Linked DNA regions of Sus scrofa. The protein of the gene in region 2 purifies or fractionates together with the protein of the main gene of each other region. This does not show direct contact. Links are inferred from orthologs where the notes say so. Each region holds a gene or a part of one and is shown on either strand. Other genes may lie near its edges.

What was found. The genes of interacting proteins can lie anywhere in the genome.
Region 1: the proteins of AP3M1 (region 2) and AP3B2 purify together in Homo sapiens (co-immunoprecipitation; 3 studies listed by BioGRID and IntAct, counting the BioPlex papers as one, with this or other methods). This does not show direct contact. The link is inferred for Sus scrofa from reciprocal best matches to the Homo sapiens genes AP3M1 and AP3B2.

Annotation. Positions count from the first base shown.
Region 1 is NC_010449.5:52,201,128-52,206,402, reverse strand, and holds the start of AP3B2 (AP-3 complex subunit beta-2), read right to left. Parts: upstream 3,755-5,275; 5' UTR 3,617-3,754; exon of another isoform or gene 3,200-3,616; intron 3,096-3,199; 5' UTR 3,035-3,095; intron 1-3,034.
Region 2 is NC_010456.5:76,811,535-76,816,215, forward strand, and holds the end of AP3M1 (AP-3 complex subunit mu-1), read right to left. Parts: intron 4,600-4,681; coding exon 4,455-4,599; intron 3,729-4,454; coding exon 3,628-3,728; 3' UTR 1,629-3,627; downstream 1-1,628. UniProt on the Homo sapiens protein: Part of the AP-3 complex, an adaptor-related complex which is not clathrin-associated. The complex is associated with the Golgi region as well as more peripheral structures.

The DNA of each region.
Region 1 (5,275 bases), on a different chromosome or scaffold from region 2:
CTACCACGAAAAGTAAAATTGAAAAATAGAAGACAATAGCAGAAAAATACACTCCAAAGCTCGTTCTTTGCAGAGTTCAGCAAAATGGACAAATCCCTTGTGAGCCTGATTTAGAAAAAAAGAAAGCAAAAATATGTAAGGTTAGAAACGAGAAAGTAAACAACCACATGTGCAGAACAGATTTTTAAAATCACAAGAGAATTCTATGTCTAACACAACTAATTTGAAAAATCTTTTAGAAATGAATGGATTCCAAGCAAAGTATAAATTATAACTGATCCCAGAAAAAGTAGAAAAGATCGGCAATTCAATTACCGTAGAAGAGAGTAGCTTAAAACCCACAGATAACAATGCTTCATATAACATAATTTCACAGCTGAGCTCTCTGTTCAGCCTTAAAAAAGATAGTTCTAAAGTTACTTAAATTACTTCAGACCACAGAAAAAATGTGAAATGCTTCCTAATTTATTTTAAGGCATCTCATATAATTTTAAATCCCAACATCTGATTAATGTAGTACCAAAAAAATCCTATATACCAATCTCACTAATAAGATATATTCTATATAAAACATCAATAAATGGAACCCAGGAGTGTATCAAAAGAATAATATACTTTGGACAAAGAAAGCTCTTCGGAGTTCCTATCAGCATTTAATAGGCATTGTATCAAAACCTTTTGTCATAAACTTTTATCTTAAAATTGCTAAATTTTCCCATCCTGGAACATGAATATCTCTGTTTACTTAAGTCCTTCCTGCCTTTCAATACTTCTTATTTCTTATAAACAGTCTTGTACATCTTTTGTGCAGTGTATTCAGATTGGATTCCTTTTTAAACCCTATTTTATCACTAGCACATAAGAAAATTTTAAGTTTTTTCAGGCTGGGGTCAAATCAGAGCTGCAGCGGCACGCCTACACCACAGTCACAGGAATGCCAGATCCAAGCCACATCTGCAACCTATGCTGCCCCTTGTGACAACTCAGGATCCTTAACCCACTGATTGAGGCCAGGGATCAAACCTGCATCCATCACAGATACTAGTCGGGATCTTAACCCACTGAGCCATGACGGGAACCCCAAAAACTTTCAGTTTCTATACTGAATTCAGCCACCTTGCTGAACCATTTAGTTTGTCATTTCATTATCCTGCGTCGTCTAGAAAGAAGATCATATAATCTGAAAATAATGTTTTTACTTCTTCCTTCCCTAATTTTTTTTTCTTGTCTTTATCTTGTTTTGTTGCATTGGTTAAAAAGTCTAACACCATGCTGAACGTTAGTAGTGAAAGTGGGTATTCATTTTTTCCTGACTTTAATGAGAATGTCTCCAAGTTCCCACTATGGTGCAATGGATTAAGAATCCAACTGCAGGTCACTGTGGAGGCACAGGTTTGATCCCTGGCCCAAGAACTTCCATGTGCCAGGGGTGCAGTCATAATTTTTTTTTTAAGTGAGTAATGGGAATGTTTCTAGTGTCTTACTATGTATAATGTTTACTAGAGACTTCCGGTGCCTTTTATCAAGTTGCTATTTATCCATTCCCATTTTGCTGAAAGTGTTCTCTCCTTTTTTTTTTTTTTTTTTTTTTTTCTTTTTCAGCTGCACCCTCAGCATATGAACGTTGCCAGGCCAGGGATCAAATCCAAGCTGCAGCTGCAACTTATGCCACAGCTGCAGCAATGCTGGAGCCTTAACCCACTGCACCACAGTGGGAACTCCTGAAAGTGTTCTCTTTGAAGTCAAATTAGATATTAAATTTTTAAGACATTTTATCAGTTGAGATGATGATATAGTTTTAAACTTCTAAATTATTAACAGAATTCATAGCAACAGATTTTCTAATATTAAATTATTTCATAAATGCTTTCTTGTTTCAAATGGAGTACCCCGGTGCATTTGCTGATATTTTACTTCAGAGCTTTGTATCTATGTGAGTTTAGTCTCTAGGTTTTTTTTTTCCTTGTGCTATTTTTGTCAGGTTTTGCTATTAAGGGGGGATGTTAATAATACAAGTTGAATTACAATGAGGTATCATCTCACACTAGTCAGAATGGGCATCAACAAAAAAATCTACAAATAACAGATGCTGGAGAGGGTGTGGAGAAAAGGGAACCCTCCAACACTGTTGGTGGGAATATAAATTGGTGTAGCCACTATGGCGAACAATATGGAGGTTGCTTAAAAAACTAAAAATAGAGTTACCATATAATCCAGAGATCCCATGCTGCTACCAGCATATATCCAAAAGAGAGGAAATCTCTAGTTCAAAAAGATACATGCACCCCAAAGTTCACAGCAACACTGTTTACAATAGCTAAGACTTAGAAGCAACTAAATGTCCATCACAGGTGAATGAATAAAGATGTGGTACATATAAACAATAGAATATTCGGAGTTCCAGTCGTGGCTCAGTGGTTAACAAACCCGACTAGTATCCACAAGGACTCGGGTTTGATCCCTGGCACCACTCAGTAGGTTAAGGATCTGGCATTGCCGTGAGCTGTGGTGTAGTTCGTAGACTGGGCTCAGATCCCTTGTTGCTGTGGCTATGGTGTTGGCCAGCAGCTACAGCTCCGATTCAACCCCTCGCCTGGGAACCTCCATATGCCATGGGTGTGGCCCTAAAAAGACAAAAGACCAAATATATATATATATATATATATATATATATATAGAGAGAGAGAGAGAGAGAGAGAGAGAGAGAGAGAGAGAGAGGGAGGGAGGGAGAATATTACTCAGACATAAAAAGAATGAAATAATTCCTTTTGCAGCAACACGGGATGGATGTAAAGATTATTATACTAAGTGAAGTCAGTCAAAGACAACTATCATATGATATCACTTATAAGCGGAATCTAAAAAACCGATACAAATGAACTTAATTATGATTAATTATGAAACAGAAATAAGACACAGATAGAACACCATTAGAGCAGAGTTAAGAGAATGGAATTAGGCAACTACAAGCCAAAGAATGCCAAAGATTGTGGGATGGACCACACCAGAAACTAGGAAAAGGTAAGGGTTTTACCTAGTCTCACAGGAAACACGATCCTGATGACCCCTTTTTTTCGGACTTCCATCTTCCAAAACTGTGAGAGAACAAATATCTGTTGTTTTAAACCATTCAATTTGTGTTACTCTGTTATGACAGCCTAGGATACTAGGACAACAGCAATTTTAATTTCTAATTTACCTTCCCGGTCCCCAAAGTGCCATAGCCACAGTCCAGTTCAGGACTACTTAGGCGCTCAATCCTGTCCTTGGTAAAGGGATGAGTAAATTTCCATCAGTCCAGTAGTCAAGAATTACCAGGTACTTATGAGCTACTGCTGTGAGATGCACAACCAATGCAGCAAATGACAGCCATTACTGCGACAAGATATGGACCCACATTGATAAACGAATGATAGTAAGGTACTAAAAACGGCACGGGGAGGTGGAGCGAAGCGAGAAACGAGGACAGCTGGGGGCAGAGGGGCTTCGATTTCCCGGAGGACACCGTTGGGAGAATATGGTTGTTTTTTGAGATGGAGTCTACAAGCTGCTCTCTCAAGCCCTGCTGAACGGGTCCCAGGCCTGTCCCCACCGCCATGGACACAGCAGCAATAACCTCCCACACTGCGTGCCTCCAGTCGACCCTACAGAGTGGTAAGCAGCCCATTGAAGTGGCGTCATCGCCTAATCCTTTACGCGCCTGCGCGGCGCCTCGACGCGACCCGCCCCCTCACGCTGTTGCGTGGGGCCGGACTTCCTCCAGCGCCCCGGAAGCCGGAACGACCTGTTTTCCGCCTGCTGAGGAAGGAATTGCCACCGAGATCGGAGACGGTAGGGGATGTTGTTTACACGGCGTAAAGTGAGGCCGAGTTCCGGCCACCCAGCGGGGTAGGTGACAGCAGCGTCCTTATAGGCAGTCAGTCTGGAGTATAGGGCTTCAGAGGATGCGGCGGGGAACCGAAGTAGAGGTGAGGGGTCGAGGTATCTGTCGCCGGGCCAGGGCCACCAGCGAGGAAGGGCTCATTCCAAACACACTGTGCTCACCTTTCTCAACTTCGTGTGAAAAACGAGCTTGGTTGCACATGGAGCTGTCGTAGGGATAAATGTGGAAGGGAGAAGTCCACACTCAAAAAGATTAAGAACAAATTTCAATAGGCGAAATTTCACATGGGAAATGCCCTTTGTTGCATGAGGTATGTAACGTGAAGTTCTGTACAAACCCAGACGTTGTAAGACGGCTTGAGGCAGCAGCTCATGTTGCATTAATTGGAAAAAGTACACCCTCAGTTAGTAATAAGTTTCCCGAATCAGCCAGCAAGTTCATTTGGTATTACGGTGGAACTGAGCTGTATAGGTCATACCCCTCCTTTCCTCTTAAGCGCAGTGTCTGAGAGGAGACAGGCTGAAAGTTAAACAGATTATTATTGACAGAAACAGGACTAGAAATGAGATTTCTTCATTTCCAACCCCAAATTCTTTCCTTCACATCGTACTGCCTTCGCTTTTTATTTTTAAAAAAATTTTATTTATTTATTTATTTTTGTCTTTTTGCCTTTTCTTGAGCTGCTCTCGCGGCATATGGAGGTTCGCAGACTGGGGGTCTAATCAGAGCTGTAGCCGCCGGCCTACGCCACAGCCACAGCAACGCCGGCTCTTTAACCCACTGAACAAGGACAGGGATCGAATCTGCAACCTCATGGTTCCTAGTCGGATTCATTAACCACTGGCCACGAGGAGAACTCCTTTGCTTTTTATTTATTTATCTTTGCCTTGTATTTATCTTTGCTATTTATTTATTTATTCTTTTTAGGGCCCCACCCTCAGCATATGGAAGTTAAGTTCCTAGGGGTGGAATGCGAGCTGTAGCTACTGGCCTGCCACAGCCAGGGCAAAATCCCTACCGCATCTGCGACCTAGTCTGCAGCTTGCTGCAAGGTTGGATCCTTAACCCCCTGATTGAGGCCAGAGATCAGACTGCATCCTCTGGAGACTATGTTGGGTCCTTAACCTGCTGAGCCACAATGGGAACTCCTCATATTGTCTCTTTGGATTACTAAACAGTTTCTCTTCAATATTGGCTTATGTTTGGGTTGTTTTCTAAACCTCTTAGGCTTGCCCACTTTCCTACAAGACTTTTCCATCTAATAGTATGAGAAAGATAATAAAGACAATGCACAAAACTTTTAAACAGCACAAGCACTAAACAAGTATTACTTAAGGAGACAGATGAAGTGTGACTGCATTGTAATCTACAGGATCTGACCTAGACTTCAGG
Region 2 (4,681 bases):
ATAAATGCAATATTAATGCCTTTAAAGTATGAATCTATGCCAAAGATCACCTTTTGTTTTACTAAAGATTACTTAGAGGAAAAAAGAAAAATCATGTTTGCTCTCCAAGTTCTTCCAGTGTTTTGAGACACTGGCTTACACTTTACGCCAATGTGCTTTTCTCTAATATAGTGCTCAAGACACAGTGAAGCAAATTAAAAAAGAAAAAAAAAAATCCCCGAATGCTGATTAGCGACATCACCACTAAAAAAACATTTATAAGCTAGGATTTGTTATATGCAAATATTTTCCGCCTCTTCTTTTGTTCTGTTTAAAACAATAAAGTACATTTGTATAAATAATTCTCTAAATGATGGGTATGTTATTTTAACAACAACTTTTAGATTAGGTTTCTCCTTGGCTTTGAAGAATAGCCAATGAAACTAATCCTTAAGGTGTGAAAACTAAAGGATTTTATTCAATCCAAATATTATACTAGAAGTAGAAACCAGCAATAATATATTTACTTAACAAAGATCTGTGTAATAAAGGACAACTTTTGAGGATTACACACAAAAAGGAACAGAAGTGTCAAAGGTTAATAGTAAGAGGAAAGCAGCCAGATGACAGGGCTCATCCCCTGGTTGAAGCAGTCTTTCTTAGAAGATTCTAACTATATGTGGAGGGCATATCTATACCCTAAGAAGCTAAAGCTGTTACATGTGCAGGAATGTCACAGGTCTAGGTTTCATATTCCAAAGCCCAATGGAGAACAATAGGGTTATCAGGGATCTACCAGAACTATGAGGCAAAGCTTGCCTTTTGGGGACATGTTCCTCTTCTTGCTTGAGGAAGCTCTAAGAGTAGGAACAGGTACTTGAAGTACCTGTTTTTGCCTGATTTTCTAGATGTAAAAGGGATAAGTATCTTTAAGTGTGATAGTACTGCGGACTCCATTTGTAACTACTTTAACTTGGAAAAGCTGCTGACGAGGGAGCAGAGTCCACCTATCTGAGTTAAAGGGAGATGTCTAAGGCTATTGAATTAGCTCAGCAACATGTGAAAATAGTACTCAGGGTCGTCTTCTTGCAACTTACCGCATGTTCACTGGTGCTGCCTTCGTGCTGCATTATGGTTTGTTTTCTCAAGTCAGATGATTCTAAGGACAACAGGACCAGTATCTTCCAAGGATTCTTCTGTAGCATCACTTAAGGAATAAACCCATCACATGAATTCCCTTTGAATAAAATGATGGTAAATCCTTTATGCAGAAAATAAGCCCTTGGATTGTACTCCTTTAAGAATTTGGAAAACGGGGCTATTCTGGGATTATGTGGAATTCTATTCTTGAAAAAATATTTCAATACTACAAAAGTATTCATGGGTTTTTGTTATTAGTAGGGGGTGGTAAGGAGAGTAGCTTTGAACACTTTTTGTTAAGTCTGTGGCTAGAGGGTGATGCTGAGAGAAAGTATACAGGGCTGTTAACATAATGAGGTTAAGAGAGCAGCACTTGGAAGTGCTTTGCAGCAACCCTCGCACCTTGTGTGATGATTGGAAATATGTGATCATGTTCAGCCTGTGCTAACACTGAGGCATGCCCATCTGAGAATGCTCAATTAACAGTCAAGTGAAAAAATCAACTTATTACTTTCATCATTTTATTGACAGTATGGCCAGGACTAGAGAAAGGACTTACTGGATTCAATCAAATTAATAAATACAATAATTTAATTGTAAAAGGAAACAGGCTACTTGAAAATTTTAACAGAAATTGCTAGGGGCAAGGGACTCTTGGCATACAGTCTGCTTGCATATGAGAAGAAAGCACAGAAAGAAAATTAGACAGTCCATATATGGAAGGTTGAGATAAGGGGTTCTGCAGAAAGAAAAGCAAATGTATTGACTGTTCTTTTGAGGTATGAACTGTGAAAAGGAAGACAGTAAAAATGAAAAGCAACTGAACCAGGTAACCAATCTTACAGGCAAAAGGAATAGATATTTGTCAACATCTTGATTTTAGCTGCCAAGCTGATATTGGTTACTCTAGAAACTGCAAAGCTGCAAAAAGTGATCTAATTAGCTGAAAGGTGGGCTGGGTGCGCTAGGCAGGCAAAGGTTACGAATGCCGCTGTACAGTGGGCTCCCTGTATAGCACCAACCACTAGCCGTGACAGCAGAACGGGATGAGTGTAGGCGCTACTGTTAGCATGATAAGGGAAAGGGAGTTATAAGTTGAGAAGAAGGTAAAGAATGGAGTTACAAGGAGAAGAAAACTAATAGTGTAAGTAAGAACAAACACTTGTATCTTCACTTTCTCCATTCTTTAGGTCTGATGAAACAAAATAACTGGGTAAGGACTTCTAAGTCAGTCGAGTTAAATGAAATGATAACAGTTGTAGACTGACTTGCCAACCATGAAGATCAATGCAGGTTTATCAATGTTACTGAAGATTTTGTTTCCACCTCATTACAATGTACGTACACATACTCTTGTCAGTACAGTAGAGACATTAAGGTTCAAAGTACTGGTGTGAAAATTACAATAGATTCAGGAAGGAGTCTACTAACTATAGTTTTGAGAAGCACACAATAGGAAAAGGGAGTTCCCCTGAAGACAAGGAATAGGCAAACAACAGAACAACAACAAAAGGATCAAAGAGTAAAAAAAAGATAGATGATAGGCAGGCATGTTTTCTAACTTTAGCTGAACAGGACATGAGGCCTTGAGGCTAACTAGGTTAAGTGGTACTGGATAAGCTTTATAAAACATGAAGATGGCAAAGGCTCACTTCAGTTTCTCTTTTATACATTAATTTGCTTAAAATCCCAAATACTTGTGCTTGCACTAAGTTCCTAAAAGCAGAAGTAGTGTTCCCTTTTATTCCCTTAAAGCATTTGCCCCTTTGATACAAATGATCTTTACTATGCTAACAGCTGAACCAAGTGACATAAAACTGAGATGGAACTTACTGCAGCAAGGTCCCTGTAAATCAAAATCTGAGCTTTAATAAAAAATCTTATTTATAAAAAATACAATACCAAGTACAGTGAGAATGGAGCATGGAGCAGCAGTGTTCCCTGCCAGGGCCATGTGGAGTGGCTTTTGCTACAGTGCTTGCTTAATGGCACAAGTGAAAAGGTGAATAAGGCAAACACTCAAAGAGGCAGTTTTTTGTAAACTTTTTGGGGTGGGGGGAATTTTTCCTTTGTTGGGACAGATGCTGATTTGGGATGGCTAGGATCAAGTGAGACATTTAGCTGCACTTGATATATGACATTACAGACTAAGACAGCTCCTGCTGGCTGAGACCAGTTCATTGTTTTAGGAGAGAGGTTACCACTTGTAGACTCTTGCCTTTACTGTTAAAATGTGCAGCCTCCAGCTGGTGCCTCCCTATGGAGGAAGTTGCCTCCAAAATTTTCCTAAGTGAAAAGATACAAATAAGCTAAGTCATTCAAAAGTTTCCTTAGCTTAATGCTCCTTAAGAACCCTACACTGATTACTGAGCAACTTTGTTATCAGCGATGTGTGGCTCGACACATATGCTTTAACTAGAATATGTATTCCCACCCAATTGATACCTAATAGTAATAAACTGTAATGACACTTGGAAAACACACATCTTGAGGAATTTTGGCCTCTTCTCATGTCCTCACTTGGAACTTTCCAGCTTTCGTGACATATTTGACTCCTTTAAATGGCTTATATTTCTCCCCATACATGTCCAAACGGTTTACTTTTAAGCCTGTGTCAAAAGAATAGGTAAGGAGAAGAATAAATTACTATCCTGCCCACACAAACTGATACAATATTTGCTTAGCAAACAGTTTACCACAAAGTCAATGTGACATTAACTAGTATCCTTTCTACCATTTGTTGTTGTTGTTGTTGCTTTTTAGGGGCATGTGCACAGCATACGGAGGTTCCCAGGCTAGGAATCAAATCAGAGCTGCAGCTGCCAGCCTTCGCCACAGCCACAGCAATGCAAGATCTGAGCCATATCTGCGACCTACACCACAGCTCATGGCAACGCCGGATATTTAACCCACTGAATAAGGCCAGGGATCAAACCCTCATCCTCAACAATACTAGCTGGGTTCCCTACAGTTGAACTGCAACGAGAACTCCCCTTCTACCATTTGGAAGCAATGTTTCTTCTACCATTCATAGATTATGACACTATGGGGGTATGGTTTTAGCTCAGATTCCCATGTAGGCAAGGAATGTCTTTTTAAGGATAATTCTACTTTCTATGAGTATGAGTGACTCCTTTCTTTGTGCTTGTTGAGGGTAGGGGTGAAGGCAAGCTGTGTGAAATAAGGTGCTCTCCAAACCACCCACAGCAGAGTGAAAGGCATATGAGAGCTGCTGCTCTTTCTACAGAGTGAATGCCAGTTACCCTTCTAAGCTCCTAATAGTTAACTTCAGCAAAACCTAATTACCCTTAAACGCAAGTCAAACTTCTCCTTACCTGAAATAGCAAGCTGCTGGATCTTGAACTGTATGTTGAGGTTTGGATTCTCTTCTGGCTTGGGTGCCCCAGACTGTAAGTTTACCAGTCCTTTAAGACTTGGGAGCTTTTGTGGAGTAATTTTTCCCACATCCCACGTTAGTACCTTAAAAAGACATAAAAACCCAAAACACTCTATTTATTAAAGACAAATGTTCAAAGACAAGGTTCAGAGTTACCATAAACTT